Lytechinus pictus: one gene and its partner. The protein of the gene in region 1 purifies or fractionates together with the protein of each later gene. This does not show direct contact. Links are inferred from orthologs where the notes say so. Each region holds a gene or a part of one and is shown on either strand. Other genes may lie near its edges. The genes, in order: acidic fibroblast growth factor intracellular-binding protein B-like and C2 domain-containing protein 5-like.

What was found.
Region 2: the proteins of acidic fibroblast growth factor intracellular-binding protein B-like (region 1) and C2 domain-containing protein 5-like purify together in Homo sapiens (affinity purification with mass spectrometry; 3 studies listed by BioGRID and IntAct, counting the BioPlex papers as one, with this or other methods). This does not show direct contact. The link is inferred for Lytechinus pictus from reciprocal best matches to the Homo sapiens genes FIBP and C2CD5.

The regions. Positions count from the first base shown.
Region 1 is NC_087251.1:44,752,690-44,760,303, forward strand, and holds the start of acidic fibroblast growth factor intracellular-binding protein B-like, read right to left. Parts: upstream 3,197-7,614; 5' UTR 3,032-3,196; coding exon 2,944-3,031; intron 2,329-2,943; coding exon 2,130-2,328; intron 1,650-2,129; coding exon 1,523-1,649; intron 878-1,522; coding exon 777-877; intron 338-776; coding exon 204-337; intron 1-203. Other genes in the region: NPC intracellular cholesterol transporter 2-like, read left to right, coding at 4,933-5,104. UniProt on the Homo sapiens protein: May be involved in mitogenic function of FGF1. May mediate with IER2 FGF-signaling in the establishment of laterality in the embryo.
Region 2 is NC_087261.1:20,637,876-20,645,770, forward strand, and holds the start of C2 domain-containing protein 5-like, read right to left. Parts: upstream 3,197-7,895; 5' UTR 3,099-3,196; intron 1-3,098. UniProt on the Homo sapiens protein: Required for insulin-stimulated glucose transport and glucose transporter SLC2A4/GLUT4 translocation from intracellular glucose storage vesicle (GSV) to the plasma membrane (PM) in adipocytes.

The DNA of each region.
Region 1 (7,614 bases):
TTTTATGCAAAATACTGATTTCTAAAGATTCAGTTTCATGTGTTGTCCTATGGCATTTCTTTGAAAATACAGATTTCCTCACCAAAATACTGATTTTCAGCTTTAAACATACCAAAATGTTCTTGTTCGGGCTGGCAGCTCTGAGAATACCTAAATATGCATTATCATGCAACAAGAATCAATATCGTGAATACAGTACATACCCACAGAACCAGCAGTCCAACTGCTGATCATTTCATCAGCACAGTAGGCTAGGTCGTTGAAGGTCAGGTACTGAACACGCTTCTTACCAGTCTCAAACCGATTGTTGGCAAAGAATACGATGGCAGCGTACTTCCTGATAGTGGAGAAATGAGTTCAGTCACATTTGATATACATCAGCTTCTATTCTCTCATTTAAAGTACAAAGTTTTCTAAACTATCACAAAAGATCAATATGTAACTTTATCAAAGTAGAATACATTTTATGCAGCTACTTTCATATAGCTATAGTACACAGCTATGATTTCTTTAGTACATTTCATACTAATCTATTCATCATCTGATTTGTCTTAGCCACTCCTACCCATCCCCCCCCCCAAAAAAAAAAAACATCCTCATACACAAATATTTATCTGGCAACTAACTTCATTGTGCAGAAGTATACAAATAACAGGAGTAAAATAGGTACCGGTAACTTAAATGCTGATTGTAACAAACTATCAAGTTGTCATTGTCTACATACATCTTAGACAGGGAAAGAACATATATGACCTAATAATCATCATGTTACTTACTTGGCTAGCTCTTGCGAGAGGAGAAAATGATTTTGGATGTTCTTCACCATAGGGCCTTCCATATCCTCAACCGTCTTGAAAACTCTTTTGAAATTATCATACTGCATGTTAGAAAGATGGCGAGAGAAAGTGAAACATACAAATGAATACCATATTTAAGAAGTCGTACACTACATTCATAGCCTAAGATTGTGCCATCATTTGAAAATGTGATCATTATAATACAAGTGGATCCTGTCCAAATAAGAATGTTCAGTTGCCAATGGACAAACTTTGAAATTGTAATTTCTCGCTCCCCAAATCCTTCCCTTATGCCACGATAGATTTGGTTAGATAATAGATATATACTGTACTTCTAGACATTGCAATATACATTACCTCTAGTTTGATTGTGTTCAAAAAGAAATTTATGTGAGTGTTGAAAGGAAAACAAAGAAATTGCATCGATGGCAGGGTGGTAAGAGTTTCATAAAGATGTTCAAGAATTCAATGCACAATGTGAAAGAGTTAAATGCACAATTTATCGAATGACTGGAATATGTTCTTGAGTGCTCAATCAGCTTAACTTTAATCTGTGCAGGATAAAATTATTGATACTAACAAGCATCTGCACCGAGTTAATTAAGTTAATATGTTCTTCACTACCCAAAAATGGCAAAATAGAGATAATCAGGAGTATTAAGTTTAGCGCAAAAACACATTACTTATTATGATCTAAAAAAAAAAAAACATTGGATAATTTATACCTGTCTCCTGCAGCTTCTAAGAGCAACATTGGTCTTGTCTCTGATCTCATCTAAGTCCTTCCTGTGCCTGCTAGAGAGTTTCTTACCAAGGATTTCCCTCGCAACCGAGGAATCTAATTCATAGAAACTAGCCAAAAGAGTCAAAGATAAACAATTCATCAATTAATTATTTTGAAAATATGAAATACATAAATAAAATAACAAAAATAATACATTCTTGAAAAATATTCAAAGAAATAAGTAATTAACAAATTACATTTAATAATATACAGATAGACAAGAAGTCAAATACTTGTCAAAGTACAATCAGATGTGTTATTTATTATTGTTATTTTCTAAGTCGAACAGGTTTCTATCGTCCAAAGTAATTTGACATTATGGGCAGACTCATTAGTATTTGAAAATCATTTGAAAATAATGTTAGACAATCGTCAATAGTATATAAATCACAAATATTTATAACAGACCCTGCCTATTTAATGAAAATCTTTTTCTCAATCTAGAGACAAAGAAAGAAGTCTGGACATACCAACTACCCCTACCCTCCCCCCCCCTCCCCTCCCCCCCCCTCCCCTCCCCCATGCCCGACCTTGATCCTTCTACTCACTTTTCTATAAGGAACCCTTGCATGTCTGGAGGAAGTTGAAATAACGGTTGATTGGCAAGAGATAGTGGATTCTGTAGGTGCTTCTCCATGGCTATGAAGGCCCTGTAGTTGTCGTCTGTATCGTTCTTGATGATCTCAAAGGAGTAGCCTGGTTTCTCGCGATTGACCTTCTGGTGTCTCCTCCTGGCTGCTTCATAAGCTAGGCAATAATACAGAGGATGAAGCAAACAGAAATTTGATAACCTGTATTTTATAAGCATAAGTAGATGTCTACACACCTTTCATGAAGTCGAGATTAATCTGCTCTAGCCCTTGATCTCTAATTGCTCTCAAATTGGCGACAATCCTTTTTAATTTTCTATTCAATTTTCATACTTTGACAAAATCGATTATGGTCGGATTTAGTCTAATTGCATGATCATAGATTCATAGTAAACTTCTAACAAAAAAGTTGCCGATCGAGAAGTATCAATTTAAACTTCCAAATTTTATGTCAATGTATTTTCGAGAATTACTAGACTAGCCAGGTCTAACGTTGTCGTTACTTAGATAGAGCTAGATTGAGAAAAAAGTATTAGGGCCTATTTATCATTATTTATCAATATTGATAATTGTTATGTTATTGTTTTTATTATCATCATCACCATCATAGTTTTATAGCATAGCCATAGGGTCTATGGTATATCTATTGATTTTTCAATAAATAGCAATCTCAATCTTGACTGTCGATGCAACATCATCGTCATCATCATCATCAACAACATTCACATGTCAAAAACGGCAACAGCAGCAACAAAAACAACACAATTTTTACCAGAATAACCATCCAACCAGTATCTGTAAACTTCAGGATCAACCATAGTGATGTTGCCAACAACGATGTTGACCATTGTTTCCGACATTTTCGTTGTTGTTCCCTTCGGCTTCCCTTGATAGCTGTCCAAGTAATTGAAGTGGTGGCGACGGAGATCGAGACGGCATACAACTTTGCAAATACAAGGCAGGACAATCGGGTGGACAATCGTGCATATATATGCATTGACATGCACCGTGCATGCCGTACAAGCTACGCTGAAAATAACACTTCGCTACCCGGTACTAAAATACATATCCACAAAATTTATACACTTCACTATGCAGTGGTACCAATGAAAAGGCAAATTAAAAAAGAATCTATTTCTACTGGTTCTGCCGGCCACGGAAATAAGGAATTCACCCAGGTTTGCTGAGTAGTGAGTTTATTAAAGGGATGGTCCAGGCTGGAGATATTTATATCTCAATAAATAGAGTAAAATTCACAAAACAAAATGCTTAAAATTTGATCAAAATTGGATAAACAAATAACGAAGTTATTGAATTTCCATTAATCGGGCTGATGATGTCATATCCCCACTTGTTAATTCTTTTGTCTACTCCCAGTTTCGGACAGGGGCCGCGGAACGGTTTTCAGAGTGGGAGAGGGGCTGACCATGCAAAAAATCAGAATTCTATGGTCATTTTTACGTTTTTTGTACACGATTTTGGAAAAAGTGGGGGGCTGAAGCCCCCCCCCCCCCTTCCGCGGCCCCTGTCGGAGGGGGTGCATGGTGGCCTCCCTTTATTTGATTTGGTATGGCCATATTGCAATTCGATGAAGATCATGTGATCCGTTTGGACCATGTGGATCATGACTTCGCGGATCCGTTTGGACCAATCAGATTACAGAACATTATTGGGAGTTGTATAATTCGGATGGATAAGAACCAATAAACTGTCATTAAATCTTTTGAAGACGAATTACACATTAACTCCTGTTCCTATTATATAAAGCTTTTCATCCGCCGACTCAAAGTATATCTTTGATCAATGAAATTCAAATCGTAAATAAAAAAGGTTTGTACAATGAAAAAGAAAATATGCATTTCACGCATTATGTTGTTGTTTATTTCACTTTTTTTCTTCCTCTCTTATTCAAACTATGTAATTGAATATTAATGAATAATTTGATTTGAGGGGGCCACAATTTACAAGCACAGCATCACAGTGGACTCCAGCATGTTATTTCCAGCTTCAAATATTTAGTGATCCATATTAAGTTTCAAATGTACAATTAAAATGAATATATATATATACAATAAAACTGATATGAATTAGGTCTCAATGTTGTTGCCATAAAACGGGACAGTAGCGTACGCAGGATTTTTGAAAGGGGGGGGGGTTGAGCTAATGAGCTGAATAAAAAGTTGACAAGCAAAAAAAAAAAAAAAAAAAGGTTTCCATCAAAGATATGAGGTCGTTTCGTATCCAAAAAAAATGACAAGCAAAAAAAAGGGGGGTCGCTACCTGTGCACCTTCCTGCATACAACTGAAGGCCGGTTCCAAACTCTGAGAAAAGTCTTGCGGTCTGCACAGGGCGTTATCAGTTCCCCCCCCCCCTCATCCCATATCCATCGGAAAATATCAATACACGATTTTTTTTTCAATGGAATTGTTGGTTATATAATTATTTTATAATCAATTTATTCATTTTTACTGTCTTGCGCGGCCTTATATACCGATACAGGTATTGATTGGTTATTTCATTCACAAGTGTCACGAGATCATGAATAGCCGTGCAAGTTTACGGCGTATACAAATGTACCGGCGCGGCCCATTTATGCAGCGATCACCAAAGTCATCTAAGATTTGAGAGGCTATCTGTATTAACAACAAGTATTAACACTATTTTACAGAGAGAAATATCAATTCTTGTAACTTTCGTGAATTCCTTTTTCACCACTTTTTCTCTCCTTCACTTCCTGAGGCTGAGGACGATCCGCACACGATGACCAAGACAATCTTCACGTTTATTTGCATGGCATTTGCCTTTTTCTGTCTTCCCAAAGCAGAATCCAGGACCATTTCAATGTATGATTTGGAACCTGCAACTTTGATAAAATCGAGTTCAAAAAAGCTCGGCGGTCCTCCTATTTTCCACAATTGCAGTAAAGCGACAGGTGAGTAACGTTACATCATTTGTACTATTGTATTTGTAGGCTTCACAGTATTCAAACTTAGTTAAAACTACCTAGGCCTAGGCCTAAGTTAAAATTGTTTTTGTTGAACTTTATTAAACTAAACTTTTAAGTTATTCCTTTAACATGTTTAAACAAAAGACGGCTTAACTGCAGAATACCCCGACACTGCTCACTACCCAATCGTTGGTCAGCCAACACAACGATGTCAAGACCTATAGCTAATACTAATTCAATGGTATATAGCCTAGATATATCCATACTATTATATACGTACATGCATTACTGGTACTACTACTACTACTATACTACGTACGTACGTACGTATGACGGTACGTACGAGCAATGCATCCAGGCCATACGTAATGACCTTTGCCCTTTGACTACTACTAGAGCTATAATTAAACATCGTTGGGTGCGCTGCTAGCCAACGACCCACGTTGTGACGGTACGGACGGTGCAATATTCAAAACATCGCTAACCAACGATGTGACGGTGCCATGTAACATTTAAAACATCGTTGGCTAACCAACGACCCACGATGTGAAGGTGCAATAGTACAAGATTAATACACTCTTTTAAATTACCTACTACTACTAGCTATTGCTATACATCGTTGGGTGCGCCGCTAGCCAACGACCAACGATGTGACCGTGCAATGCAACATTCAAAACATCGTTGGCAAGCGTTTCAAAGTATGGTTTCACAAAACAGTTTAATATATGCATATCCTGGTTAGTGAGGTGATCGATGTCATTCACTCTCTATTTCTTTTGTATTTTTTATACATGAAATATTTTCATTTTTTCTTCATTAAAATATGAAATAAAGTTTTAATTCCCATTGAAGGAATTCAATGGGAATTGAATTCAATGGGAATTGAATTCAATTAGGGTTAGGGTATAGGGTTAGGGTTAGGGTTAGGGTTTAGGGTTAGGGTTAGGGTTAGGGTTAGGGTTAGGGTTAGGGTTTAGGGTTAGGGTTAGGGTTTAGGGTTAGGGTTAGGGTTAGGGTTAGGGTTAGGGTTAGGGTTAGGGTTTAGGGTTAGGGTTAGGGTTAGGGTTAGGGTTAGGGTTTAGGGTTAGGGTTAGGGTTTAGGGTTAGGGTTAGGGTTAGGGTTAGGGTTATATTCACATCGTTGGCATCGCCGGCAATGTTGGCCTCTACAACAGGCATATTCACATCGTTGGCATCGCCGGCAATGTTGGCCTATGTAAGATACATTCACATCGTTGGCACTGTTGGCATCTACTACAGGCACCAACACATCGTTGGCATCGCGGGCGCTGTTGGTATATACATACTAAACATACGTTCACATCGTTGGCATCGCCGGCAAAGTTGGCCTATACTTACTAAAGATACATTCACATCGTTGGCATCGATGGCAAGGTTGGCCTGTACTACAGACACCAACACATCGTTGGCATCCTGGCCGGCGCTGTTGGCCTATACGTACTAAAGATACATTTACATTGTTGGCATCGTTGGCACTGTTGGCATCTACTACAGGCACCAACACATCGTTGGCATCGCGGGCGCTGTTGGCCTATACATACAAAAGATACATTCACATCGTTGGCATCGCGGGCAAGGTTGGCCTATACTACAGACACCAACACATCGTTGGCATCCTGGCCGGCGCTGTTGGCCTATACGTACTAAAGATACATTTACATTGTTGGCATCGTTGGCACTGTTGGCATCTACTACAGGCACCAACACATCGTTGGCATCGCGGGCGCTGTTGGCCTATACCTACTAAAGATACATTCACATCGTTGGCATCGAGGGCAATGTTAGCCTGTACTCTACAGTACAGACACCAACACATCGTTGGCATCGCGGGCAATGTTGGTCTACATAGGAAACTACAGATATGATCGCATCGTTGGCATCGCGGGCACTGTTGGCATGTACTACAGACACCAACACATCGTTGCCATGGCGGGCAATGTTGGTTTACATAGGCAACTACAGATATGATCGCATCGTTGGCATCGAGGGCAATGTTGGCCTGTACTACAGACACCAACACATCGTTGGCATCGCGGGCAATGTTGGTCTACACATACTACGGAAATATACACATCGTTGGCATCGCGGACACTGTTGGTCTACATACTACAGAATATAGATCGTTGGCATCGAGGGCAGTGTTGGCCTGTACCGACTACAGACACCAACACACCGCTACCATCGCGGACTGTGTTGGCCTACACGTACTACGAAAATATACACATCGTTGGCATCGCGGGCAATGTCGGCCTACATACTACAGATGCACACAGATATATATATAGATCGTTGGCATCGCGGGCAGTGTTGGCCTGTACTACGGACACCAACGCACCGCTAGCATCGCGGACTGTGTTGGCCTATACGTACTACGAAAATATACACATCGTTGGCATCGCGGACACTGTTGGTCTACATACTAATCGCGCGCGCTCGCATCGTTAGCGTTACAGTGCAGTACAGTCTGAACACTT
Region 2 (7,895 bases), on another chromosome or scaffold:
GGGGAATTGACTTCACATCGTTCGGTAAGTTTCGGAGGAGGATCTACTGAGTACCGGTACTGACTCTACTCTACTCTAGTCTTATTAGGCACTTCAGTCGGGCGGGCGATCGCGCGGACACAGCGCTACACGTAGATTTTTGCATTGCAGTGAATGGCGAGCGCCTATCTAACACACACAGTTCGCTCCGCTCGGCACTTTGGCCGAGCGCTGGAGTTGCATTCGGCATTGCTCGAAAAGACAGAGTCAGTTTCTTCCTTTATTCCGCTGATTTTGATTGGTCAAAAATTCCCGCGGTTGCTTCGTACATCTTCGGTAAACATCGGAAATATACAAGACGGAGTCTAACTTACCTTCATGCGAGGGAAGGACCTAATATTCAGGTATTTATTTTTCTTTGCTTGAAATCACCTTCTTGTAATCATCGGATCCCTTGTAAACTCGGTCAGTAATAAAATTGTATATTTGAGAACATTTTGTGAAATTCTAATCAAATTTGGTCCGTAGAGAGTTTGCGAATATGAGCTTCAGTTTTGAGTGTCATGAGGTGTTTGTGAATCTGACTCGGCCGATCGAGCAGGGTTGTTTTGAGCGTATACGAACAGCTGTGAGTGACGTCATCCCCACTGCGTTGGGCCTGAGATTAGTCTTGGTATTCAGACACAGTATGTTTCAGCCGTTGTATATTTTTTTTTAAATTACGATTTGAGCTGTGTTAATTATGAAAATCAAATTGTTATTTTGAAAATAATTTTGTAGAATTCGTGTGAAATAAGTATTAAGAGCAAAACTGCAAGTAAACTTCAAGAATTTTGTTTGATATGTGATTTTTTGTTGGAATGCGTCTGAATGTCTAGAATATGGTATTGTTAATGAAAGTCGTATTTTTGAATGGCACAGAAAGCTCCTTGCATGAATTTAATTTAGAAATAGGTTTACATACATGAGATGTGTTTCATGAATTTGATATCTGATTTATGGACCTTTGTTATGGTGTTAATTATTAATTTGAAGATATTATGAAAAAGTAAGAGAAGACAATAATGAGGCAATTAACAGTGATGATGAGACATTAATAATATGAGACAATAAACATTGAGACAATTATAATTATTATGATTATAATGATAACAATTATAATTATAATGATAATAATTATAATTGTAATAATTGAGACATCAATTCTAGTATTTATTGACAATAATAATTATTACAGTAATCATTATTATAACAAAATAATTGTAATAACAATTATAATGATGTACTTTGAATTGTAATAATTACTGAGATATTAATATTAATGAGATATCAATAATAATCATTATAATAATAATGTTTATAATTAAAATAAATATAATTGTAGAAACAATTACAATTATAGTAATTATAATTATAGGCCTTATAATTAATGAGACAATAATAACTATTATTACAATAATACTAATTATTATAAAATAATTATAATGATAACAATTATAATGAAAGTAATTATAATTTTAATAATTACTGAGACAGTAATATTGAAAGGTCAATAATTATTATTATAAAAATTATTATGATTATAAAAATAATCATAATTATAATTAAAGGCCTTATAATTATTGAGACAAATAACTATTATTACAATAATAATAATTATAAAATAATTATAATGATAACAATTATAATGAAAGTAATTGTACTTGTAATAATTACTGAGACAGTAATATTGATAAGTCATCAATAATTATTATTATTATAAAAATTATTATAATTATAATTATAATCATAAAAATAATCATAATTATAATTATAGGCCTTATAATTATTATTTCAATAATAATTATTATTATGAAATAATTATAACAATAATTACTATGATAGTAATTATAATTGTAATAATTATTTAGAAAATAATATTAATGAAACAAAAATAATTATCATAATAATAATTATTATAATCATAATTCTAATTGGGACAATAATGAAACGATGATGAGACAATAATAAAATCAACAATTTTATTGAGACCATAATAACAAGACAATAATGAGATAATAGACAATTGAAATCAATCTGTTTTTATTTTTTTCTACAAATCCTAAGATTATTATTTTAATTCTCTTTCTTTGATTACAAATTATATTCATTGAAAACTTAATTTCTAATGTTCAAGCAAAGAAAATCAATATCAAGTCATGTTTACCCTGTGCACAAACCTACCACAGGGCAATTACCCCCGAAATAGGGTTAGGTTAGGTGTAGATTTTTGGATAGGGGTACAGTGTAGTTGTCCGGGGGGGGGGGGGGGAATTGTCCAGGGTGGGTGGGGGTGGGGGGTTATCGTCCAGGGGTAGTTGCCCTTGAACCAAAGAAATCATATGCCAATATGTCAAATCAATCTGAGTACTTTAAGATTTAAATAAAAAGCTTGTACAATTCCCCATAAGCTATGTTATGTATTATAAATGTGCCATGCCCAAAACAAAGAGAATAATAAGATTTCGCAATCTTCTTTTGTCCACAAAAAGGCCTGTTTTTTCATCACAAAGATGACAATAACTCGACTTCTAGATATCGGAATTTGACAATTCAAACAGTTTTGTAGATATTGAGCCTCATTGACATTGTGAGCCCATCAAATATGCTGGAAGTGGAACAGCCGGCAGCCTTTCCTAATTTTCACCTGAAGTGCCTAGTCTTATGAAATTTGCGGGAGTTTGTTGCAATTTTGCATGCGCCGTGCCTTCAAAGTTCAATTTTCCTGTACATGAGACGGTGGCCTGTTCTGTTTCCAGAAGAAGAAGAAGAAGTAACCATGGTCATGATGATTATGGACGCCGGTGTTAATAAACTGGCCCCGGCACGGCCCAGCAGATTATCGCTCCGCAGCGGATAGCGCGAAGAATCCGCCGATGCGCTGGGGGAGCTCATGTTTGCGGCATCGTTGAGTCAGACTGTCCCAGACCCAGGCCAGGCCGCTGCAGCTCATGAGCTAGTGTTTTAGTGAGCTAGTCGGCTCAGAAATGTGAGACAAACAAAAATCTGCAAACTTTAAATTCTACTTAAAAAGATCTGATGATTAAATATGCAAACTATAAAAACAAAAAAATACTTACAATCAGTTTCTAAATTATTAAAATGACGAAAATCAAGGACACTTTCACAGAGACATTCCTTGGCACAAGCTTGTACGGTAACATTTCTTGACAAAATCACAAAGGAAAAAAATAATCGTTTCAACAAGGAATATCGCATCTTCCAGGAAAAAAAAAACCGAGAGGGCCAACACCATTTTCATTTGCTTGCTTAAAACCCTTCCAGCCTGAATTAATAATGCATGAATTAATTCATTTCCAATTTATCTCAGCTATGGTCGGCAGACTATTAAACATACCTATATCATACGCATACAAAAATATAATTCATTTTTCTGGTTACAAATTCTATTATTAAAAAATTGAGATTTCAAACCTACCTTGGGATGAAAAAGTTAACTATAAGCCTATATATAGCAGTAGTGCTGAATTCATGATTCTGATATAGGGGGTGCAAAGATCAAATATGAAAAAAAAAGAGGGAGCACATTCAATTTTTCTTGGCTAAGCTAAATCAGCGAATGTTAACCCTTTCCACGCGTACTTCGCACCAATGCACACTCGGTGCCGTGCGAACTTCGCATTTCACACTCAACAAACAATGCATTGTTTCCCTCCTGAAAATCATTCAGTACAGATGGGTTCATGGTCCAGCGCACAAAGAGTTCATTCATGGTAAAACCCTCTCTCCTCTCTCTTTCACTCACTTTTCTCTCTCTCTCATGATCTCTCCTTTCGTGTTCTTCATTCACATTTTGCAGTGTTCCCCAGAAGGAAAAACCAGTAAGACCAGTAAGAATTTTTACTGGTTTCCAGTAGAATTTTACTGGTTTCCAGTATATTTTTACTGGACCAGTAAAAATCAACTGGAGACCAGTTCAAACAATTGCATTCCAGTTGAAGCAAAGTAGTAATACCAGTTAAATTGTTTTTTCATCAAACTGGTGTTACTGGTCCAATAAATAATGACTTTATTTCAAGTCGGATCATTTGACGAATTATGGAATATGAATCTTGCAATTCAGAGAAAGTTATTATCGTTATCATTGTTATCATCATTCTTCTTATAATTATCATAATTATTATCATTATGATTATTATGATCATTGTTGTTATCATTCTTATTACTGTTATCGTTGTTATTGATATTGTAATTATTATTATTAACATTATCATAATTTTCAAGTATTAACATTATCATTAAAATAATTATTTCCTTTAATTATGATTAAGATCAAAGCAAGATATATTCCTCTGATATAGTCAACTGGTCTAAAGTAATTCATTGTTTGAAATTGAACTGGTCAAGACCAGTAATACCAGTAATTCTGCATGATGCTGATCACGTGGTTTACCTCATTTGCATATTTCCTATTTTAAAAAGAAAAATCAGGATTTAGGATGGAATATCCTTGCAATGGCACTCATTGTTGTTTAAAAACTTTCCAAATAAGTGTGTGAACTAATCCACAATGAAAACGTGTAATTTCATATATCACATTTAAAATAACAGCAGAAACATTAATTTACTAACCATCTTTTCCATCACATTCCACTGACCATGGTATATAACAAACCAAATGCATGTAATAAATTGATCCAGTAAGACCAGTACGAGGACCAGTTCGACCAGTTCGAGGACCAGTAGAAAATACCAGTAAAGACCAGCTTGAATTGGATACCAGTATGAAGACCAGTGAGACCAGTAACAACCACCAGAAAAAAGACCAGTATAAAATTACAGTAATTCAAGACCAGTTTAATTTTTAACTGGACCAGTATGACCAGTTAGACCAGTAAACCGATGTTCCAATTTCCAGAGTTACCAGTTAAAATTCTACTGGTCTAACTGGTCCAGTGGAACTGGTTTTTCCTTCTGGGTCTGCATGGGGTTTACTTGTATGCAGTAAGTTTGCAGATAATATTGTCTTTTGACTAGATTCGCGCTTTCATTAAATGAGAATTTGTTTGGTAGCTATTTTTCTAAAGGGCCCTGTCATTGTAGTATAAGCTTTCGGGGAGGGGGGGGGGGGCTACTTACAATTGCTGGTAAATTTTGTATGTATTTATTTTATTACAGTTTTTAATGGAAAACAAATGAACTGAATTCTTAAGCAATTGATCCAGTATCCATAAACAAGCAAGACAAAAAACGCATTGTATGGTATCAAGTTTAATGTACAATAGAATTTTAGATACATTTAATACAGATGACATTCACACACAGGAAAATGCAAATAATATTTACATCAGCAGTCAAGGTGAAATAGAAAAATCAGTTCTTAAGAAAATAAGAAAAAACAAAACATTAACATCAATTTTGTTATATGCTTAATAATAAATAGTTGATATAAGAATAGTGTATTTTTTACAAGGACATAATAAAATATCATTTTTTGGAGAGCAATACATTATCACATGATTGTATTTATACTATACACATAAGTATTTCTAGAGCACGAACAGCAAACAACAATAAAATCAAAACTTTGTTCATAATTAACACATTAACCCTATTAGTAAGAATATTCCAGGCAAAGTTGGATCACATTTCAAAAGACTATCACTGACATTTATCGTATCGGCCAATCGAATGAAATAACATAGCTTGAAACAAGAGCATCTAACTGGTGATTGATGTCAGATTTTGTGACACAGGGTCCTGGAATGGCACAGTATTTGATACAATATAAATAAACGGGGGGTGTTTCACAAATAAGTATGACTTAGAATTGCACTTAAATGCCGAGTTGCGTGCTGTATAAAAGACATCACTGTATTGGTCAGATCATGCTAAGACTAAGAGGACGCGCATTGCTGCATATTGATCAATAAGATTACGCATTGCATATCATGTATGCATCAGCATTTAATTGCAACTCTAAGTTGCAATATCAGCTAGGAATTGGCTGACCAAAGCTAATCATTCTATTTCACGATATGCTAGGTTAGGTTACGGGGTGTGTGAGAGGAAATAACAACCTAGGCTCCATTCTGAATCTTTCTGAATCGTTTTCCCCCAAGTCTTCAAATAATATTTAAAACAAAAATTAGAATTGAGGTTCTTTGACAAAATAAATGTACTTAAAAATATATTATTCTTTGTAAAAACACAAAAGGAAATAACACAAAACTCGTTTGCATACTACCAGTGGGCTTTTAAAATATTGTACCTTAAAAATAATATTAATAGAATTTTGACATTTAAACAAAAGCCTTTTTTTTATTAGATTTATGGCGATGATGACAACCACTTTATCGTCTGAAAACAATATCTGTATACATGTACAGAAATCTCTCAAGGTGAAAGAAGGTCCCCCTTTTCTCATAATCCTAAAATATATAATTTCTCAGCTTTCCTCGTTATTTATTATTATCCAACACTATAGTTTCAACAAAGATATATTTTTCACACTTAACAATGGAGAGAGCTGTGGAAAAAAAAATCAAACATTAAACTTGCAAATAATTCTATGATGATTTTGGGCTCTACAAAAAACAAGTGGAATGCCTCTGGCCGTCTCACCTGCATCACGCGATTCAATATAGCAGCAGTGCTGATTTTGAAAACTACTATAACTCGCACAAGATGTTCAGTGATACTTGGTTACTCGTATTTCCACGTTTTATGAATTAGACCAATACACTTACATGTATAGAGATATGATGGCAATTCAAAAAATACCCCCAACGTGGCCAAAGTTCTTTGACCTTACATGACCTTTGACCTTGATCATGTGACCTGAAACTCGCACAGGATGTTCAGTGATACTTGATTACTCTTATGTCCAAGTTTTATGAACTAGACCAACACACTTTCAAATTTATGGCTGTAATTCAACAAATACCCCAATTTGGCTAAAGTTCATTGACCCTAAATGACCTTTGACCTTGATCATGTGACCTGAAACTTGCACAGGATGTTAAGTAATACTTGATTACTATTATGTCCAAGTTTCATGAATCAGATCCATAAACTGTCAAAGTTATGATGGTAATTCAACAGATACCCCCAATTCGGCCAAAGTTCATTGACCCTAAATTACCTTTGACCTTGGTCATGTGTCGTGAAACTCATGCAGGATGTTCAGTGATACTTGATTAACCTTATGTATAAGTTTCATGAACTAGGTCCATATATTTTCTAATTTATGATGACATTTCAAAAACTTAACCTTAGGTTAAGATTTTGATGTTGATTCCCCCAACATGGTCTAAGTTCATTGACCCTAAATGACCTTTGACCTTGGTCATGTGACATGAAACTCAGGCAGGATGTTCAGTAATACTTGATTAACCATATGGCCAAGTTTCATGAACTAGGTCCATATACTTTCTAAGTTATGCTGTCATTTCAAAAACTTAACCTCAGGTTAAGATTTGGTGTTGACGCCGCCGCCGCCGCCGTCGCCGTCGGAAAAGCGGCGCCTATAGTCTCACTCTGCTATGCAGGTGAGACAAAAGTCATCATATATAATATGCATCACACACACTCAAAGTTATGACTGATTTAAGGTAATCACAACTGATTTCCATAAATACCAGGTTTATGGTCATGTCAATTTGAATTGATTAAAGTAAACTGAACTATATGAAAAAAATCAAAACCTACTTTCCATTAATTAAGAGGACAGGAATGTTTTATTTCAAGTTGGGATTTTTTTTTTATCATTAACAATTCTAACCTGTGTAGATATATTAAAAGCTTCTAATAAAAAAGAAAGAATTGCCTATATCTATGCACCCTTTGAATTGAAATTACCAAATCATAATCTAAAAAAAAAAAAAATATGACGATCCCATTCAAATTGGTGAAGC